3 linked regions of the Mus musculus genome follow. The protein of the gene in region 1 interacts with the protein of each later gene in a pairwise test. Links are inferred from orthologs where the notes say so. Each region holds a gene or a part of one and is shown in the gene's direction. Other genes may lie near its edges. The genes, in order: Fosl1, Usf1 and Creb5.

Evidence for each region.
Region 2: the proteins of Fosl1 (region 1) and Usf1 interact in binary tests that used the Homo sapiens proteins (3 or more experiments, as listed by UniProt). The link is inferred for Mus musculus from reciprocal best matches to the Homo sapiens genes FOSL1 and USF1.
Region 3: the proteins of Fosl1 (region 1) and Creb5 interact in binary tests that used the Homo sapiens proteins (3 or more experiments, as listed by UniProt). The two-hybrid records come from large-scale screens. The link is inferred for Mus musculus from reciprocal best matches to the Homo sapiens genes FOSL1 and CREB5.

Annotation. Positions count from the first base shown.
Region 1 is NC_000085.6:5,451,517-5,457,827, forward strand, and holds the end of Fosl1 (fos-related antigen 1), read left to right. Parts: intron 1-1,646; exon of another isoform or gene 1,647-2,896; coding exon 2,897-3,004; exon of another isoform or gene 3,005-3,375; coding exon 3,376-3,792; 3' UTR 3,793-4,422; downstream 4,423-6,311. Other genes in the region: Ccdc85b (coiled-coil domain-containing protein 85B), read right to left, coding at 5,273-5,881.
Region 2 is NC_000067.6:171,409,101-171,416,079, forward strand, and holds the start of Usf1 (upstream stimulatory factor 1), read left to right. Parts: upstream 1-2,212; 5' UTR 2,213-2,340; intron 2,341-2,342; exon of another isoform or gene 2,343-2,762; intron 2,763-5,272; exon of another isoform or gene 5,273-5,336; 5' UTR 5,337-5,421; coding exon 5,422-5,429; intron 5,430-6,404; coding exon 6,405-6,454; intron 6,455-6,614; coding exon 6,615-6,730; intron 6,731-6,979. Other genes in the region: Arhgap30 (rho GTPase-activating protein 30), read left to right, coding at 1-241.
Region 3 is NC_000072.6:53,691,035-53,697,974, forward strand, and holds part of Creb5 (cyclic AMP-responsive element-binding protein 5), read left to right. Parts: intron 1-1,864; coding exon 1,865-1,973; intron 1,974-2,889; coding exon 2,890-3,053; 3' UTR 3,054-6,940. UniProt on the Homo sapiens protein: Binds to the cAMP response element and activates transcription.

The DNA of each region.
Region 1 (6,311 bases):
TCATCAGCCTGGCTGGGGGACTGACCGCCTCTGAGGGACTGAAGAACCTGCTTCAAGCCCGGAGCCCTGCACTCAACCCCTAGTGGATGCACACACAGATCCTTGCCATGATGGCTCGAAGAGGGATGGCAAGACCCTGGGAGATATGTGAGATTGGCCAGAGAAGAGCCAGCAACAGGCTTCCCAGCAAGGGAACAGCTTACCTCTGTGATCAGCTGGGGCGTGAGCAAGAGGCAAGCCCAGGGTGAATCCTTCCTTTAGCCCTGTCCTGAGGAGACACCTTTTGACCACGGGTACTAGTGGGTTGGAGCTGTGAGCTGTGGGTAGGTGGCTTCCCCTCGGTGTGCTCTGGAACTTGAACAAATCACTCATCCTTCCTGAGCTTCCTCACATGTGAGTGTGCAGAGATCTGGATGGGTGACTCAGCAGCGGCTCTGGCTGCTCCTTAGAGGATCCGGGTTCCAATCTCAGCACCCACGTGGCAACTCACTGTCCACAACGTCCCCCAAAGGTTCTGATGCCCTCTTCTGGCCTCCACCAGCACTGAATGCACAAGGTGCTCATACAAACACACAGGCAAAATACTCAGAGGTAAATTTGTTCTTTTTTTTCTTTTGAGACAGGGTTTCTCTGTATAGCCCTGGCTGTCCTAGAACTCACTCTACAGACCAGGCTGGCCTCAAACTCACAGAGGCATCTGCCTGCCTCCCAAGTGTTGGGACCAAAGATGTATGCCATCACTATAAGCCTTTTTTTTTTTTGTAAATTTTATTTATGAATGAGTGCTTCCATGTATACCTTCATGCCAGGAGAGGGCATCAGATCCTATTATAGGTGGTTGTGAGCCACCGTGTGTGGCTGGGATTTGAACTCAGGACCTCTGAAAGAGGAGCTCTTAACTGCTAAAACATCTCTCTAGCCCCAGTCTACATATTTTAAATCTTTTTTTAAGATTGATTTATTTATTATACATAAGTACATTGTAGCTGTCTTCAGACACTCCAGAAGAGGGCGTCAGATCTTGTTATGGATGATTGTGAGCCACCATGTGGTTGCTGGGATTTGAACTCAGGACCTTTGGAAGAGTAGTCAATGCTCTTACCCGCTGAGCCATCTCACCAGCCCCTTTTTTAATCTTTAAAAAAAAAAGGGGGGGGGCCTGGAGAGATGGCTCAGCCGTTAAGAGCACTGAATGCTTTTCCAGAGGTCCTGAGTTCAATTCCCAACAACCACATGGTAGCTCACAACCATCTGTAATGGGATCCAATGCCCTCTTCTGGTGTATCTGAAGACAGCAAGGGTCTACTCACATATGTTAAATAAATAAATAAAAATTTAAAAGCCAGGTGGTGTTGGTTCAGACAGCAGATCTCTGTTTAAGGCCAGCCTGGTCTGATCTACAAACCAAGTTCCAGGACAGCCAGGGCTACACAGAGAAACCCTCTAAAAAACCAATCTATGTAGGGGGTGCTGGTGAAATGGCTCCGTGGGTAAAGGTACTTGCTGCGAAATTAATGACCTGAGTTCAATCCTTGAAATCCACACAGTAGAAGGAGAGAACCAACCTCCAAGGGTGCTATGACACACACACACACACACACACACACACACACACACACACACACACACACACGACTATATATATGAATATATGACTCTAGCCAGGCATAGTGTGGCACATGCCTTTAATCACAGTACTTGGGAGGCAGAGGCAGGTGAAGTTTGAGGCCAGCCTACAGAGTGAATTCCATGACAGCTAGAACTATGAAGATGAACCCTGTCTTTAAAAACAACAGCAACATAAAGAATCTATGTAGGGAAGCTGGAAGGGATGCTGATACAGTCTGCAATCCTATTACTCTAGAGGTGGAAGCCAAAGAATCAGGGGTTTCAGGCCGGTCTTGCCTATACACTGAGCTAAAGGCCAGCCTGGGACACATGAGACTTTGTCTCTTTTAAAAAGACAAAACAAGGGGGTTGGTTAGATGGCTCAGTGGGTAAGAGCACCCAACTGCTCTTCTGCAGGTCCGAAGTTCAAATCCCAGCAACCACATGGTGGCTCACAACCATCTGTAACGAAATCTGAGTCCCTCTTCTGGAGTGTCTGAAAACAACTACAGTGTACTTACATATAATAAAAATAAATAAATCTTAAAAAAAAAAAAAAAAGACAAAACAAGCCAGATGAGGTCTGTGAGTTCCAGGCCAGCCTGGTCTATAAATCAAGTTCAAGGCCAGGCAGGGCTACTCAGAGATTCTGTCTAAAATACAAAGAAACAAAACTACAAAAAGCAGAAAAAGGAATCTACGAAAGGGCTGGTGAAGGGGTGTAACTCAGTGGTAGAGCATTTGCCGAGCTAGCATGTACCAAGCCATGGGTTTGATCCCTAGCACTAAGCAAAAGAAAAGTCCTACAAAGGGCTTTGTTGGCATAGTAGATTGATTCCCAGTAGCTTTTGGCACTCAAGAGCACCTTCTACAATTCACAGCTCCTGGGGGAAGAAATCCCATCTTCCACAGATGAGGAGGCTGAGAGTCCTGTGAAAAGAGATAATCATGTCTCATACACTCAGGAGAGAAGGCTACTTCTGCCTGAGAAATGAAAAGGCTTCCTGGGGTCCCAACATCTTAGTCCAGTCCTAAGATGCGGAAGGGAGGAAGATCAAAGTTTACAGAGAGGGAAAGCATTTCAGGAAAGAAACCAGCAGTAAAGCTAGGTGTGTGTGAGCTGGAAATGTCACCAATGAGATGACAAGCGTCCGGTACAGAGAAGCAACTGTGGAGTGTTGGGTGGTGGCACCTAGACTACAGACTGAAGGAAAGCTGGATGACCAGCTCAGGGCAGCTGGTGGCTCAGAGTCAGCCTCATTGTCTCCCTTCTTCTATCCCAACCTAGATCAGCCCAGAGGAGGAAGAGCGCCGCAGGGTGAGACGCGAGCGGAACAAGCTAGCAGCTGCTAAGTGCAGAAACCGAAGAAAGGAGCTGACAGACTTCCTGCAGGCGGTGAGCATCATCCCCAGGCCCGGACCCACAGAGCCCCAAGAGGGGTCTCGGCTCCCAAGAACACAAAAGACCCAAAATTACTCCTCAGGACTCTGTCATCCTCCCTGCCTGTGGGGAAGTCCTGGAAAAAGGATAAGGGAAAGTGGCTTAAATATTGTTTGTCGGGCTTCGAGGCAGAGTCGAAGATGGTAGGCAGCAATTCTCCTAAGATGCCCCCGTCTGATGGGAGTCATGGCCATTTTCTCCCAGAGGCTCACGGGAGGGAGTTGCAGTCCAGACTTGTTGGGGATGACAGGCACAGTCCCTACTCCAGCCTGAGGCTTGGGGATCTTTAGCCTTCATTTTCCTATCTTTCTGCTAATCCTGTAAAGGAGACCGACAAATTGGAGGATGAGAAATCGGGGCTGCAGCGAGAGATTGAAGAGCTGCAGAAGCAGAAGGAACGCCTTGAGCTGGTGCTGGAAGCCCATCGCCCCATCTGCAAAATCCCAGAAGGAGACAAGAAGGACCCAGGTGGTTCTGGCAGCACCAGCGGTGCTAGCAGCCCACCAGCCCCCGGCCGCCCAGTGCCTTGCATCTCCCTTTCTCCAGGACCCGTACTTGAACCGGAAGCACTGCATACCCCCACGCTCATGACCACACCCTCTCTGACTCCTTTTACTCCGAGTCTGGTTTTCACCTATCCTAGCACACCAGAACCTTGCTCCTCCGCTCACCGAAAGAGTAGCAGCAGCAGTGGCGACCCCTCCTCCGACCCCCTGGGCTCTCCTACACTCCTGGCTTTGTGAGGCACCCAGCCACATCCCTTGCTGGTGCTACTCCAAGCCATCCCCTTTCTCCCATTGATCCAGCAGGCCTGGACCATACCCTTGCCCCAAACCAGCAGATCTTTTATCTCTTCCGACTAGAACAAACACATTATGCTTTGATGTAGAGCCAGCTTGGAGGGGATCCCCAAAGCTGCTCACTGTTTTTCTAGAGCTGGCCTATCATAATTTGCACAAAATTAGAGGAAAATATGTTCCCTCTGCCAGAGAACGCCTGGCAGCCCAGACTTTGTAGATCCCCAGGGGTCCTTTGACACCCTTACCCCTTGCAGACCACTTTCCCACACCACGTCACTTTCTTCATGTTATCCAGCCTACTCTACACCTAGACAGAAGGTGCCCTTTGACTAGCCTAGAACACTAACTCACACAGCATCAACAGCCAGCAGCACCGGACATCCTGCAGGCTCCTCCTGAATGGCACAACGCAGGAGGCGCCAGGGGCTTCTGTGAGGAGCGGAGCTGCACTCCCTAGCTCTGAGAAGCGCTTAGCTTCAGGGTATCCGAGCCTCCACCGCAAGGGCAGCTGCTATTTATTTTCCTAAAGAGACTATTTTTATACAAACCTTCCAAAATGGAATAAAAGGCTTGAAGCTCTAGTCTGGGTTGTCATGTTGGATCCAGAGGCTAAAGGAGACCATTTGGAACAGGAGTTCCAGGTTCCAGTCTCAGCATTGACCTTGAAGAAACTACCATATGTTTTTGGACTTCCATATTCTCACCTGAAGAATGGGGCGACCCTCTGCTCTTCCTTGTCTCCTATACTGAGAGACTAAGAATGCTCTGGAGTGCAAGCAAAGAAGATTATCAATTATTTTCCCCATGGGAACCCACACTGCTCCTGTCTTAAGGACTGGGGGGGGGGCAGGGAAGGCCGGTGGTATATCCTTCCACCATCCATGCAGGCGGTTCAGTGGGCTTTAGGCCCCCAACACCTGCTTCCTGTCCCATTGTTTTAGACAGGAAGGAGCCTGGAAGGGAGCTGGAGCCACTACAGCGGCCGGATTTCAGCCTGTCTTGGCGCCCATCGGGGGAGTTAGTGGTCTACCACCGTCTCAAATCCCACCCCAATCCCAGGTAATAGGGAGTCAGCCCTAGCTCTGCAGTTCCTCCGGATGAGAACTGCACTGCATCTCTGGGTTTACGCCCTCTTCCCAACCCCGGCGAGTTCTAGACACAAGCTGGCCAGGCTTCGGGCTCTGCTTCCTTCCCAGTTTATTAGTCCCCACCCAACCACACAGCAAGTCCCTCCACTTCAGCCTCCATTTCCCCTGCTGCTCTGCCAGCAAGAGCAAGGAGCCCTCCTCAGTGCCAGGGCTTTTCCAGTCCATTCCAGCGCCCTGGTGCTCAGCCGAAGCTACGACCAGGTCTGGAGGTCCACAGCATTCCCCGAGCTCAGGGAGCAATCCAGGCAGGCATTGGCGTGGAAAATGCGGCGCCCTCAGTCATCAGGGGAGCAGGCTAGGGGCAACTGATCCGGGCTGCCCACACTGCCAGTGCTGGAACTTCCATCGCCTAGGTCGCGGGGCCCGCACGGTGGCAGGGCGAGCTCGGGTGTGGGCCCAGCACCTGAGCCCACTGCGCCGCCGGGGCCACCGCGGGGGCCCCACTCTTCGCCCAGTGCTAAGCAAAGCTCCTTAAGGGCCAGATTTTCCCGCAGCAGCTCCTCCTGGCGGCCTTCCAGCTCCGCTAGCTTCTGCCAACAGCCACCCAGGTCCTCGCGCACCGCCCGGGATGCTTGGGTCCCAAAGAGCTGCCACTGGCGCGCCGCACGCCGTCCTCGTTGGCGCTCCGAGTCCAGAAAGCAGCAGAGGTCGCGCAGCTCCCGGTTCTCCGCCTGCAGGCGCCGGTTGAGCTGTTTGAGCTCACGGATCTCGCCCAGGTGACCCTGCAGCTGCCGATTCACCTCCTGCATCAGGCGGCCGCGCTGCACTAGCGCTGCCAGGCGCGCCGCCTCCTCCCGCCGCAGGCGCCGCACCAGCTCCTCCTTACCCAGCGCCGCCATCTCCTCGTCCGTCAGCTCCTCCAGGCCGCCTGCTTCGGCCTCCATAGTTGATCAGGCAGCTGCAGCATCGCCCGCCCACGGCCGAGGCTCTGGAGCCCCTCCTCGGGCCGGTTGCCTCTCAGGCTCCGACCCGGGCTCTGGCTCCGAGGACCGTAGGCAGTGGAAGAGGCAGCGTAGGCTGCAGCAGCTACCCTGGGGTGGGCACGAGGCAGGGCGCGCGCCGGGGCGGGGCCTCGTGATGTTGCCCAAGAACAGCCAATCCAGAAAGTCTCCCAGGAAGGGGCGGAGCCTAAGCCTGTAGCTCTCTTTTCTCGCCCACTCCGGACCTGGGTGTCACGACCCTCAAACAGTAGAGACCTTCTCTCTCCTTTCCTTCTATGGTCATCTCAGCGGGACTTGAAGGCGTTACAGGACTCCATGTTCCAAAATCCCTCGAGCACTTTTTGAGAAATGATATTCAGGTGTCTGCCTTTGA
Region 2 (6,979 bases), on another chromosome or scaffold:
TGGAGGTGGGGATTATAGTCTCAGCTCCAGAACCCCTCCTTGTAGCATGATCCTTGCCCATTCTTCCCGGCCCCTTAGCTGTTTGGAACGCCCACCTGAAGGCACAGAGGGGTCTGAGCCCAGGAGTCGGCTTAGTCTGCCCCCTAGAGAGCTTCACCCTGTTGTCCCTCTTGTGGCCCCTCAGCGCCAGACATATGCTTTTGAAACACAGACTAATCATGGGAAAGATGAAGGGGTATGATTAGGACAGGACAAGAGGAACCAAGAAATCATCACCAATCTCTGGAGCACTTGCCTAGCTGTCTTTGCTGCCTCGGCAGCTGAGATGTCTAATTCCATAGGCTTGGGTCCTCCAGCTTCTTGTTTTGACCATGAGAGGTACAGACTTGGTGGATTTACTTATGTTTGTGTTAGACACAAAGCCACTTATGTCTTAGCAGAGTCTTAAGAAACATAGAACAATCTTGTTTCCAGGGAGTTAACAAAAACATAGGGTAGGTAAAAGCTTTTTTTTTTCTTAAATTTAAATACAGTGGGGGAATTTCAGCCAAACTTTTGCCCTATTCTGAGCTGTGAATATCTCTTCACAGAAGCCTACTGTAGATGTGGGAGATATAGGACCAGATATAGAATAGCTCACCCCTGATTTGTTCCTAGATTTTTGGCTGTCTTCTGACCCTCTTTAGTTTCAGAGTAGGAGAAACATCCAAGAAGCTCTTTAAAGTCCTCAGTGTTTGCTGAAGGAAATGGGTGGCATCCTCTACCTTCAATTATTTTGCAGAAGAGGTCCTCCCATTTTAGGAAAAGGGAATGTTGGGCTGAAGAGATAGCTCAGAGGTTAAGAGCACCTACTGTTCTTCCAGAGGTCCTGAGTTCAATTCCTAGCAATCACATGATGGCTCACAACCATCTGTAACGGAATTTGATGCCTTCTACGGGTGAGTCTGAAGAGAGCAATGGTGTACTCATTCATATACATAAAATAAATAAAGAAAGAAAAGAAAAAGGAAAAGAAAAGTAGAGGGAATGTCACTCAATTTGGCTCTAGCACTGTCTCTGCACAGGCTGGGGCTACAGGCCACCATTTAGCAATGGTGGGTATTTGATAATAAAAGCTGAATTTTTTTTTTAACATTTAAACAGTGTATGTACTTTGTCTTATTAAAGTTTTGGGTGAATGGTATCACATTCCAAAGTTGCCAAAATGTATATATCTTGTTTTTTCTTATTTAGATATTCTTCCTCAGTTGTCATGGGAAACTGTAGCTAGAAAGTAGAACTGGGTTCATGGTGGTCAAGAAATGAGGAAGAGAAACCTGTATTTACATAATGTTCATCTAATGCCAGGAATTGGGCCAGATTTGTGTGCATAAAAACTTTGCTCTTGAATTTATTTAATCCACTTGATGTGAAGTTGGTATTGGTATTTCCGTTTTACAAAGAAATTGAGCTGTAGTTAAGTAAAAATGCCCATCAAAAACCTCAGAGTTAAGAAGTGTTAGTTTCTAGGTGTGGTGGCTGTCTTTAATCCTAGCACTTGGGAGTGGAGAGATCTATGTGTATTCGAGTCCAGCATAGTTTATGTAGGACTACATAGAAATACCCTATCGCAAAAAAAAAAAAAAAAAAAAAAAAGTGTCAGTTCAGAGTCTGAATGGCTTCAGAATCTGAATTCTAGCTATTGCTATTATACTTCACTATTCCAAAATCACTCTGGGTACACCCAGAATGAAGAAAATGGTAATCAAACTCGTCCCCACACGTATTTAAGAGCCTGAGGAAAAGCTATGAGGTCTTTGGAGTATTGCTGACGTTAATACAAAGGTATATACCCAGATCCACGTACACTCAGAAATGTCCCAAAGTCCACTTGGAACCCCCTCAAAGTGATGCCCTGATCCAAGATGGCGTCCCACATTGCCCTTATGAAAGATGGCGCCTAAGATTGCCGTTCCACCCTCTACTTCCTTTTACTGGAAGTAAAAGGGCTCCGCCTACCACAAGGATGGAAGTACAATTTAGTCGGGTTTTTTTTTTCCTGGTTCTTACTGAAAACAAAGGCCTCTAGCGAGGTCCCCAAGGATACCGTCTGTTTCCCTTCAGAGCCTGCGACCACTCACGTACCCACATCCGCTCTAGCGGGCATCAGATTTGAAGCGAGCGGAAGTGTGGCAGCTCGGGGGGCCGTCCGTCGGCTGGGCGGGTCGAGGGCACACTTCCGCCCCTCACCAACATGGCCGCAGGCTGGGACTGCGCATGAGCAGCTGTCTATGGAGAGACCTAGATCCAAAGACGGAGAAGGCTGCCGGGGGAAATCGGCGACTGAAGCGGCCTGGCCCGGTGAGTGCGTCGGAGCCGGCCGGAGTCCGGACGCCGGTGGATCGGCATGGCGGGGCACCTTTGCTTTGGCTGGCGTTTCCCAGGCCAGGCCACGCCTGGGCACGGAGCCTTTGTTTTGGGGGAGGGGGCCGTGCCCGGCTCTTTCTCTCCTGCTTTGTGGGCCGAGCTCGCTCCCCGCCCCGGTGTGCACACGTCCCAGCCGCCTGCGGTGGGTATCCAGCTTCGAGCCGCAGGCCCGGGAAGGTCCCCGGCGTCCTTTCCCCGTCTCTCCTCCGCGGAGCAGCTGGGGCGCAGGCGAGCTGGGCTGGGACCGGCGGGGTCACCGCGCGGGCTGCGGGGCTCGCGCCTGCCGGGTACTCAGGTCCCCAAGCGCCTACTACTAGTCGGTGGGCCTGCAGGGAGACGCGTCGTTCTCGGGCAAGGTCCGGGCGCTTGAAGTCTTTGGGAACTTGATCTGGTTTTTGTGTGTGGGTGGTGGTGGGGGGTGTTTTGTTTTTTAAATTTCTGCCTTTGCGTCTGTGCTTGGTGAGGACGTTTGCTGGGCTCTCCTTTTGAGCATGCAAAACCACAAAATCCTAGGCTGATTTCCGTATCACGTATTATTAATGCTCAGGATGCTTCCGGATATACAACCAAGGTTTGAGTAAGGAGCCTACCGCCGTTTCTGGGTAGCCTCAGAAGTTGCGCTGACAGCTGTTGGCTATACGGTTGTCTCGTGCGCCTTGCAGTCTCTTTCATAGCCTCCTCCTGCAGGCCGTGCCAGGAGCTTCAGGAGGAGCTCTTCCTCCTGTTTGAGGATGGAGACCCCCTAGGTGGTCCGTACATCCGGACGCTGCCTCCCTTTGCAGCCTTACTTTCTACGGACAGTTTCACTTTCAGTTCCCTTTTGTTATTGTTGTTAACGTTCTTCTTTGCACACGGTCTTTCCGAGGCGCATTATCCGCTAAACTAAGGTTTTTCTTTGATTAGAAAGGTTTGGAAGATCTTGCGGGTAGAGTGTTTAAAAAAAATCTTGTCCTTTCTTGTTGAGATTATTTTATTGCTTTGTCCTATGCAGCTGTTTCTTTCTGGTGGCATCTGTCTGTACAGTTCTTTGTTTTTTCCCGTTCTCTGGCTGGTTGTCAAAAGTCCTAAGGCAGGAACATTGTAGATGGATTCCTCCCCCTTTGTCTTTTCTCCTGCAGAACCCTGAGCCTGGAGGTTTTCTTTCCCCCCCTCCTCCTGAGGCTTAGTTGATTTGGAGTTGTCATGGCAACATTTTAGCAACTATGTTGCTCTACAGGAAGCCTTGCTGGATAAAATAAAGAAGCCTTGAACATGATGCACTTGGGCACTGGTGTTTGTAACAGATGCTGTAAATCTGGACTCTCTCAAAACAAGAGCCCCGACAGCGGAGTAGTATCCAAGAGCCAAACCTGGGTTTTATGCTTAGTGATGGTTTCCCAATAGCAAAAAAGGTTTCAGTTTTCCTCTTCTTAGATTTGAGGACTGGAATTTGTTTTTTGTTATTCTTATTTGATTTTGAAACAGGACCTCTCTATACATAACCTTGGCTGTCCTGGAACTCACTCTGTAGACCAAGCTGGCATTGAACTCAGAGATCTGCCTGCCTCTGCCTTCTTAGTGCTGGGATCAAAGGCTGGCATCACCACCTCCCAGCTTCAGATTTCTTTTCGTACAGTTTGTGTTGGAGAAGCTGGAAGAAGAATCAGGGAGTGTGTGAGGGAGTGTGTGGGTGGGGGGGTTATTAGTTACTGGTTTTGATAGTGGTGGTCTAAACTTTGCTCTAGCTTTTCCTGTGAAGCTGCTGACATAGAGTATAATAGCTTTAGTAACAATCCACAATAGCCTCAGCCATGCACCCCAGACATTGTTTCACAGTCTACTCCTCCCCCCAGGAGTTGGAATGAAAATGGAGGAGCAGCTGGGTGGTGGCGACCCATGCCTTTAATCCTAGCACTAGATAGGCAGAAGCAGGCAGGATCTCTGAGAGTTCAGAGGCCAGCCTGGCCTACAGAGTGAGTTCCAGGACGGCCAGGGCTACAAGAGAAACCCTGTCTCAGAAAGAGAGAAGCGGGGTTGGGGGGGAAGGAAGGAAGAGAGAAAAGTTTTGGTGTGTGTGTGTGCACATGCATGTGTGTGGTGGGCTGGACGCTGTGATAAACAGCTTTCACAAGTTAGTTTTTGCCTCTTTGAGGGGAGGAGGTTGTTTTTTTTGTTTTGTTTTTTGAGATATGGATTCTCTAGGTTGCCCTGGTCATCCTGGAACTCTGTAGCCATGGCTGGCCTTGAACTCAGAGATCCACGTGCCTGGCTCCCAAGTGCTTGAATCAGGCATTGCCACCACGCCCTGCCTGCTGAGCCCTCCTAGCTTTTCTTTTGGTCAGAGGAGAGCCGTAGGGGGTCAGTTGTTGTCTTTCCACGTTGCTGGAGACAGTGGCTGGCGCCCCGCTTGTAGAGATTCTCTCATCTCCAGCTCTCCATCAGGCGCCCTGTGATTACACATGCTCTCAATGCTGCATTCCTCTCTTCTATAGGTTTTAGGACTCGGGTGTTACCTTCATTCCGAGTGAGACTTCCATTGCGAGTGCTGTTTGAGCCAATCTCCCAGTTTTGTTTTATTTTATTTTGAGACAAGTTCTTGTAGCCCAGCCTAGCGTGACACTAGCTTTGCACCCCAGGATGGCCTTGAACTCCTAAGTATTGGTATTACGGGCATGAGCAAGCACACTTGGTCCTTTTTCTCCTCAAACTCGCACCGTTCCTGTCTCCTTCCCCTGAGTGTTAGGCTCCCAGGAGTGAGCCTCCATGTCCCGTGAAGAGTTGCTTCTTCAGTCACTGCAGACTAGCCCTTGCCATCAGAATTGGGGGAGTTGACTGTCCTTTGCGGATGCTTGGTTTATCTTCCTGGCTGTGTCTTCTTGGAACCTAGGTTCTAGAACCTGGAAAGCTGTTCAGTTGCCTGGCCTCACTGCAAACTCTGTGGTTTCCACCAGGACTTAGCATTCAGGCCTTTGAGTTGGGAGATACAAAGTCCTCCGAAAAAAGACCGGCGCCTCGGATGAGCCCCCTCACAGAGAGATGAAGGGGTAAGTGAAGAGGGATGTCTGGGCAGAGGAGGGATGGCCTGGAGAATGCAGAATTAATGCAGAATGACTAAGAACATTGGATTCGGGAGATCTGGGTTCAGGTACCCAGCTCCAACACTTACCAGCTCTGTGATTTAGTTTCTCTATCTATAAAACTGTGGTGCTAGTCACTGTTATTAGCATCAAGATGGTGTGCTGGGGTGGGGGGTGGGGTGGATGCCTTTAATCTCAGCACTCAGGAGGCAGAGGCAGTCTTATCTCTGAATCCAAGGTTAGCCTGCTCCACACAACAAGTTCCAGGACTGCCAGAGCTACCCAGAAAAAAACTCTTTCTTTCTTCTTCTTTTTTTTTTAAGATGTAGAAATGGTCCTTTTTTTGTTTTGTTTGTTTGCTTGTTTATTATATGTAAGTACACTGTAGCTGTCTTCAGACACTTCAGAAGAGGGCATCAGATTTCGTTACAGATAGTTGTGAGCCACCATATGTTTGATGGCATTTGAACTCGGGACCTTTGGAAGAGCAGTCAGCGCTCTTAACCACTGAGCCATCTCGCCAGCCCTAACACTTTCTTGAAAAACAAAATAAAACCAACCAACCAACAAACAAAAAAAGTGCTTATAGCTTGGTGTCTATGTACATGGTAGATACTTAGTTATTACTTTTTAAATTTATTTTGTTTTATTTTTTTGAGACAAAATAATATTTACATAGTCCTGGGTATATCGTAGTCCTGGCTGCCCTGGAGCTCACTCTGTAGACCAGGCTGGCTTCAAACTCACAGAGATCCACCTGCCTGTCTCCTGAGTGCCAGGTTTAAAGGAATGTGCCACCATGAGCCAGCAGTAATACTGTCATGGTCTAACCTAGCCTAACATCTGTTGTGGATGCCAGTGAGTTTGGGAACCATGTTACGAGGTCAGTGAATGTCTCACATCTTCCATTTGTTTCTTGTTTTTTTGTTTCACCACCAATAGGCAGCAGAAAACAGCTGAAACCGAAGAGGGAACAGTGCAGATTCAGGAAGGTGAATGTTGACAGTCAAGACTTATGGCTCATCCTCCCCTCCCTCTCTTCAGATGATGGTCCATCTCCTTCCTACATACCGTGTGTCTTTTAAGTGCCATGCAAGTAGAACAGGGAGGAAGGCAGTTAACTTCTAGATCTTTCTTTGCCTCTTAATCTAGGCGCAGTGGCTACTGGAGAGGACCCAACTAGTGTAGCTATCGCCAGCATCCAGTCAGCTGCCACTTTTCCTGACCCCAACGTCAAGTACGTCTTCCGAACTGAGAATGGGGGCCAGGTAAGGGAGGGGGCCAGGTGGCTGCAGATGCCGCCTGGGGTTTGGGGTTAAGGGAGGGGCATGAGCATGTTTTGGGGAGCTGTGGCTTGGAGGAGTAGCTGTGTACTATTGGGGTGATAATTGGACGCTTTGAGATTGATGTGGGGCTGGATATGCTAAAGCCTGGGGGTCGGGGCGGAGGGGACAAGGGACAGTTGCTGAGTCTCTCTGAAAGACTCGTGGGACTTAACATGTACAAATACCAGAGGC
Region 3 (6,940 bases), on another chromosome or scaffold:
GCTATTTGTGGACAAAATAATGTTCTCATATACTTTGATAGTGCTTTATTGATAGGCATGAAAGTTTATGCTGTTTTATAGTAAAATTCCTTTTGGAAGCGAAAAGTGTATTGTGAAAGAGTTTGGATGTGCTCCCACTAATGTTGGACAGCTAATGAGTAGCATTACCAGTGTTTCAAAGGATAGCCCATCAACACACCCTGGCAGGAGTGCAAGTGCTACCAAGACACCACCTCTGCCCAGGACACAGTAGGGGAGAAATCAAACCCATCTCCAAACAACCACTAGATCTCAAAAAAGATTGGTTTTCAATTCAAAATGTGTTAAAAGAAAGCAAAATAATCCAGTTTGGTTTTGTTTGTTAATTTTAAAACTACAATACTTTGCTTGTTTGTTTGTTGATTGGTTGGTTGGTTGGTTGGTTGGTTGGTTTGTTATGGGGGGATTTACATGTGCTATGTCACACACGTCGAAATCCAAGGATAACATGTATAAGTTGATCTCTCCTTCCACCATGTGGACTCTAGGGATTGAGCTCTAGGCTTCAGCCTCGGGAGCAAGCACTTTTACCCACTGAGCCATCTCACCAACCCCCAAGTTTGGCTTTTATACTTTGCTGATTGTTTTCTGGGCCACACTAGAGAAAGTGTAGGTTCTCCGTAATGGTTTCTAAGTTGCATTGTCTACATCATCTGTAACTGCCAGTTTTGTTAGGGTATCCGGAATGGTGTGTTCAGAAAGGTGTCAGTGCTAACGTATGCAAGTCCAGACATTTCACCTTGCTGTGTGCATGCACAAACATACACACACACAACAATTCTCTGTTTCAGCTTGAGCAGTTTTATTTTATTTTTAAACATATACATAAAGATATATAATGTTCTAAAGGTGAATTTCTCTTATACATACTATTTTAAAAATAGGAGAACTTGGTGTGGGGAAACAAAGAATGTTATTTAAACAACATAATTCAGTTAAAGTTCAAAGAGGAGTTGGTTGGAGGCGGATGTGAATTTCCCTGTAAAATAAAGTTGTCCTTACTTGCCAAAAGTCACTTCGAACCATGGCTGGCTACCTATCAATCATCCTAGCTGGGAAGTGGGAGGTACTGTTTGCCTTCATGAATGCTCGCAGATTTAAGAGCAATTTTCCTGTACCATTAAGTGATTTATTCATCTTTAAGAGAATTTCTCACTATTATCATTATTTTGTGGTTTGAAGGATAATGGGGAAAGCTTTTGCAGATGAGACATTTGTTACTTTATTAGCAATGCTATTCGGGGTACAGTTTATCCAGTGTTTCAAATGCATTTGCAAGTGGGAGATATTCATTAAAGAAACAGCTTCATTTTTTAAAGTTAACTTCTAGACTTCTAGGAGTTTTCTTCTCTAGACGATGTCTACTTATGTACGTTTGTACCATGGGTGTCACCAAGTTCATTGTACATTGTACCATTTCTAACTCCATCTTCTAAATGCTATAAATGAGGTTGGTGGAGGTTAACCAAATCATGTTAGATAATACATGGTCACAGCTATCTCAGGTCACATGGTCAGAGAAGCATGGGCATCTCGGCTATATTATCTGGTTCCAGAGCCCGTCACTTAAAGGCTATGGTCTGCTTTTTATGTAGGGGTTCAGTTCTTGAGTTAAACTTTGGTCTCTTCAAAAGACCCATACAATAAGAGGGCCAAATGGAAGGGAAACTACAGAATTCGGATCAGTCCCTCAAAGTAACTTTCTGAATGTCATTTGAACACAGTCAGTAAAGCTTGATAACTCTGTTGTTGAAAGCAGATGGTGGGACTTTTGTGTTTGCTAATTCTTTGGTCTTCTCAACACAATGTTACTATGTCTTCCCAGAATGAAGTGTCCATGTTGAAAAACGAGGTGGCCCAGCTGAAGCAGTTGTTGTTAACACATAAAGACTGTCCGATAACAGCCATGCAGAAAGAATCCCAAGGGTATTTAAGTAAGTCACGTTTTTATTCCTTAGAAGAAAACTTGTCTCTCATTTTGCCCTGAATTTTTATTATAAGGGAAAAATACAGCACAGGCTGCACACCCAGACAGATACTTGGGAATGACTAAGAGGTTATAGATGCTTCTGCCAGGGGAAGCCATCTTTCCTGACCTCTTCCCAAAACCATGCCCAGGACCCCTCCCCCATCCCCACCCCCAATAAGGTCTGGCCTTACTCTCCCTGGCAGCACATTACCAAATTCCTGCTTTGTAGCCAGAAATGAGTCTGTGGGGGTCCAGTTACTAGAGGCCTGTTCATCCTCCTGAGAGAATCCTCCTGGGAGCTGAGAGACATCTCTGGGTGTATCACTTGCCTCTAGTTTCTCAGGAGATGCTGCATGTTGCCCACCAGGCTGCAAAGTTCCTGGGCTCCCCCTGTTTTTCAGCAAACAGTGTGGGGGTCTCTTCCTCCCTGGCTCCACTTTCTGTACTTACAATGGCAGTAGACTAAATGCTAGGTGAATCAGGGAAGGCAGGAGGAACAATGAATCGTGGCTGAAGGTCAATTTGTTTTCAAATAATTTTTTAGATTGAGCAACACAGATTCTCCCACCACATGTGAGTATTTTTCCACATTTAATAATACGAACGGCTACCTGAAAATATAAGACGGGGGAATTCATACCCCCAAGGCTTGATCAAACACATTTTACGGGGGTCATCTTACTGATGGGGAAAGTGGCTTTTCCCATAGCTATGAGCCTGGGAGGCTTAGCTTGGCAACCTCAGTTTAAAATGAAGCTTTGGCCTTCTCTTCCAGAAGGAAATGTATGAAGCTCCTCCACACGCAGTTTAATGTCTAATAGCATTTCTACTCCCCCAAGAAAGAGCTATATTTGTGTGTGTGTGTCTGTTTTTCCTCCTAGGTCCAGAGAGCAGCCCTCCTGCGAGCCCTGTGCCAGCATGCTCTCAGCAGCAAGTTATCCAACACAACACCATCACTACATCCTCATCGGTCAGCGAGGTCGTGGGGAGCTCCACCCTCAGTCAGCTTACAACTCACAGAACAGACCTGAATCCTATTCTTTAAAAGGCATCGGTCAAACCTGGCCTTTGAGAAGAGCTGTAGCATGCCGTACATCCTTTCTCAAAGGGGCATTTTTTTTAGAATTATCTCAGACCTGGAAGACGCCTCAGCCCTTCAAAGACTGGCTTTCATTTTTATAGTTATTATGGAAATGTTGTCTTTTATACTTAGTTATATAAGAAAAAAGGGAGATATGCAATGAATATCTATCAGCTTGGGGAGCACGTTGGTGCTTCTCTGCAATTTTCTGGTACCAGTTTCTTGTTTATAAACGGAACCTTTCCTGTATATAGCCATGGTTTCATTCTTACCAGCCCAACCCTTTGCCTGGAACAATGAATCTTGTTCAACTACAGCTTTTAGCCAAAATGAGGTATGCTTAGATGTCAAGCGAGATGGATCCACACAGTAACTGGGTGGGAAAGCTCATGATGTCATAACTCATGTTGAGTTTGTGCTGTGATGTCACCAGAATCTCAGATAAACACATGGGCCTTCCTGAATATTTTTTTCTCTTGCTAGAAAAAAATAAATTATGGTCCATCCATATCCCATGAAAGCCACCAAGCATCTCAGGCCCCCTCCTTCCTCTCTTTTCTACTTGCGCAGATGTCCAATATCCATCTCATTTTCCTTTCCCCGGATCCCTTGTTTACTCTTTGTTTTGACTTTTTTTCTGTTTCCTTTTCTCCCCTTTAGCTTTGCATGTAAAAAAGAAAATAATGTTTAAAGAAGAGAAAAAGCAAATCTGGAAACTGTGGACCTAGCCACAGTTTAACCCACAGCTGGAGTTCATTCAATTTTTGCCTTTCACAAAATAGCAACCAGGAGATGTTTAATGTGCCTGATTTAATGTTTTTAATAACCAGAGCAAATAAAAGGTGGTTTGGTTATAGGTGAAGCACTGTTGAATGCCAGCTGTGGGGACACTAGGGAAAGGGACTTCGTAAGCTCCAACTGTGAAAATTCAAATAAGGATGTGGGCTCTAACATCACACCCTCGAATTACAGCTCGCTTCTATGGCCTGTCTATAATGTAAAAAATCCATGCACTATATAATAGTTCAGAAGGGCTCTGTTCACTACACAGATTACATTGTTCAATCATCAGCTGCTAATAACCTAAGATTTATTATTATTATTTTTCTTAAGCCTATGGAACCAGCTCTGCTGTTCTGGTGGGCAAAAGCAAACTCACTCTTGGAGCAACAGAGAGAAAGCGAGGCCAGCGTTTCTCGGGGACTCGCAGTCTGCCAGAACAGTCAGACTCCTTGGCTGCTGACCGAGTCCCATGGAGGTGGCCAGGCTGGTGCGCTCATCTGAGTAGTTCTGATTTATATTTTCAGCAATGTCCACGGACTTGCCCATTACGGAAAGCAGATCAAACCCAAACCACAGTTGTGCCTCCTTGAAACAAGCCATTCTACTCTGCTGGTGTTTTACTATCGTGTTTCACAAATAATAGGGGCTAATGTTTCTCACTAGCAGTCTGGGCATATGCTGGTGTTTCATCTCTGCCCAAATAATTCACCTCCTAACCTATGTGTGTGTGTGTGCACATGGATGTGTGTGCCTGAGTGTGTGAGTGTGTGTGTGTGTGTGTGTGTGTGTGTGTGTGTGTGTGTTTATGAACAGTATAGGTTTTAAAAGAACAGTATTTTACAAAAGCCATCACTTTTATAAGAGTTCTGTAAAGGAAGGATGTACTTCTTCGCTCACTATAGTTTAAAAAAAATTCTATTTTAGAGGAAAAAAAAAGAAAATATGAGGGCTCTGAGCATGACTTTTATAACTAGTTTCAGTTTTATCTAATAACTTACTTTTAAAAAATCAATATTTATCAATAATTTTCATGTATGCTGTGCTTTTTGAGAGACATGTTTGGCTGTTCAGTAAAGCATAAGAGTATATGGCCTAAGAATCAAAAAGAAATGAAAAAATAAAATAAAAAGAGGGAAAAGAAAAATGAAAAGGGAAGAAAGAAGATGGAGCAAACAGAAATTTCTATTGTATTTTAGGAAAATGCATCATTTTCAAGTATTTTAAATACTGAGTTAATATTGTTATTTTTTTTTTAATTCCAGCAGTAACAAAATGGTTTAACCTAACTGGCTTGCTAAGAAACGTGTAAGTCTTAGATTTGAAAGAATTTAACATTCATAGCTCTGGATTGAAATCAAAGGTCATTTTCTGCAAAATTCCTTCCTTAGATCAGGTCAGTGCTCTGCTCCCTTCAAAATAGAAGGGGCAAGCTAGAGTGGCAGAGCTTGTGGCTTCTATCTGACACTTGCTTTGGGTAAACAGGACCTTTCCCTCCTGCCTGCATGTATAGCACTTGAAGAAATGAATTTTTTAATCCACTAGTAATATAACATCCAGGGAGTGACCCGCCACTAAAATGATGATTTTCAGTTTATGTCTCTCCCACCACTCAACTGAAGTGCTTAGCCGTTCCAGGGACAGCCTTTGCAGTTAAGAACTTGCCTGGGTTTTCTTAATTCAGAGACTCGACAGCTTGACTGATGTGCATTATTTATAGCTCAATTATGTCTGTTTTTTATGCTAAGTAGGCAAGCCACCACACACAGCAAACCTTTCTCAACATATAATTAGGATAAACTGCCTTCTTGTTATGGGCAGGCCCTTTAGGTGTGTTTGTTTGCAGTATGGATAGAGTCGGTGAGGGTGCCAGCTCGCTGTCAGTCGAGAAAAACTTCTGGGGAAATCTAATTTCTGGTTTATCCCTAGTCAAGATTCCACAGAAAGGTCCATCCTTTACCAGATCTCAGAGCCTGCCTGAAACAACCCTTGCACTGACTGCCATACACCAGCGATTCGAGGAGAGCATCTCTCTAATTCCTTTTCATCGTCTTCTCCCATCCAGTTACCAGTGTCAGCCATACAGACTTTCAGGAGTCAGTGGTAACAGCCTTCAGAGTTCCCCCGTCCAAGGAGGGAAAGAAAGTTCAAGAAACACTGCCTCTCTTACTCCTGTGTGGCTCCATTATCACAGGATCTGCTTCTGAAGTCCCTGCCAGCCTCCTGGGCACTTCTCCAGTACCTCCCTGCCTAACATGCTGAGGGCTGGAAACTTAGTGCACATCCCCACTCACTGAGAGAAAGACATGGCACATGAATGCTTCTTAGAAACACCTTTCTCAATCTACGATGCTGGGATAGGCAGACTCAAAGTCCCAGCCCCGGATGAGTGTTCGAATCTCAAAGCTAGATATGGAGTTAGCTATGATCTACTGGGTGCTGGTGACCCTCGTCATCTCTTTACCCACATGTCAATGTGTGCGAGTTGCCATATTAAAACAGCCTGTGGGTGACCGATAGTGTGTGTGCTGTTGAGGTGTGTATCATAAAGACTGGGGTGACTTGCTCAGCCAGTGCTCCGTGGAACTAATCTAATCAATAAAATGCAGTGGTTATTCCAAGAGAGGTGTCAGTGGGGAAATGTTCCGGTAACTGTTGCCTTCTAGGAAAGCAGATTATAGTGGCCTAGAGTTTGCCATTAGAATCATAAACCAGCTTCAATTTAAAAAAAAAGCCCTTAGCTGGGCTTATTTTTAAGCATCAGTAACTGCTATAAAACTAGCCTTTCAGTTAGAATAGGATGTCCTTCCTTTTGAGCAAAACCATCTAAGAAAATATATATGTATGTATGTACAGTGGGATTCAAGGACCAAAGCAAAATTTGAACAGGAATCTATTAATTTAGAATGTATAAGATATTTATTAATAAATGTTATTTTAAACATTCCATTTGAACAGTATTCTTCTGTAGGCTCTATGTGTCTTGAAAATGTTAGTCCCTAATAGCCTGCCCTAGTTTGGGTGCCATTTTTCAGGGTCTTGGGTGGCTCTTCCTGTCATTTGCTGGAAGC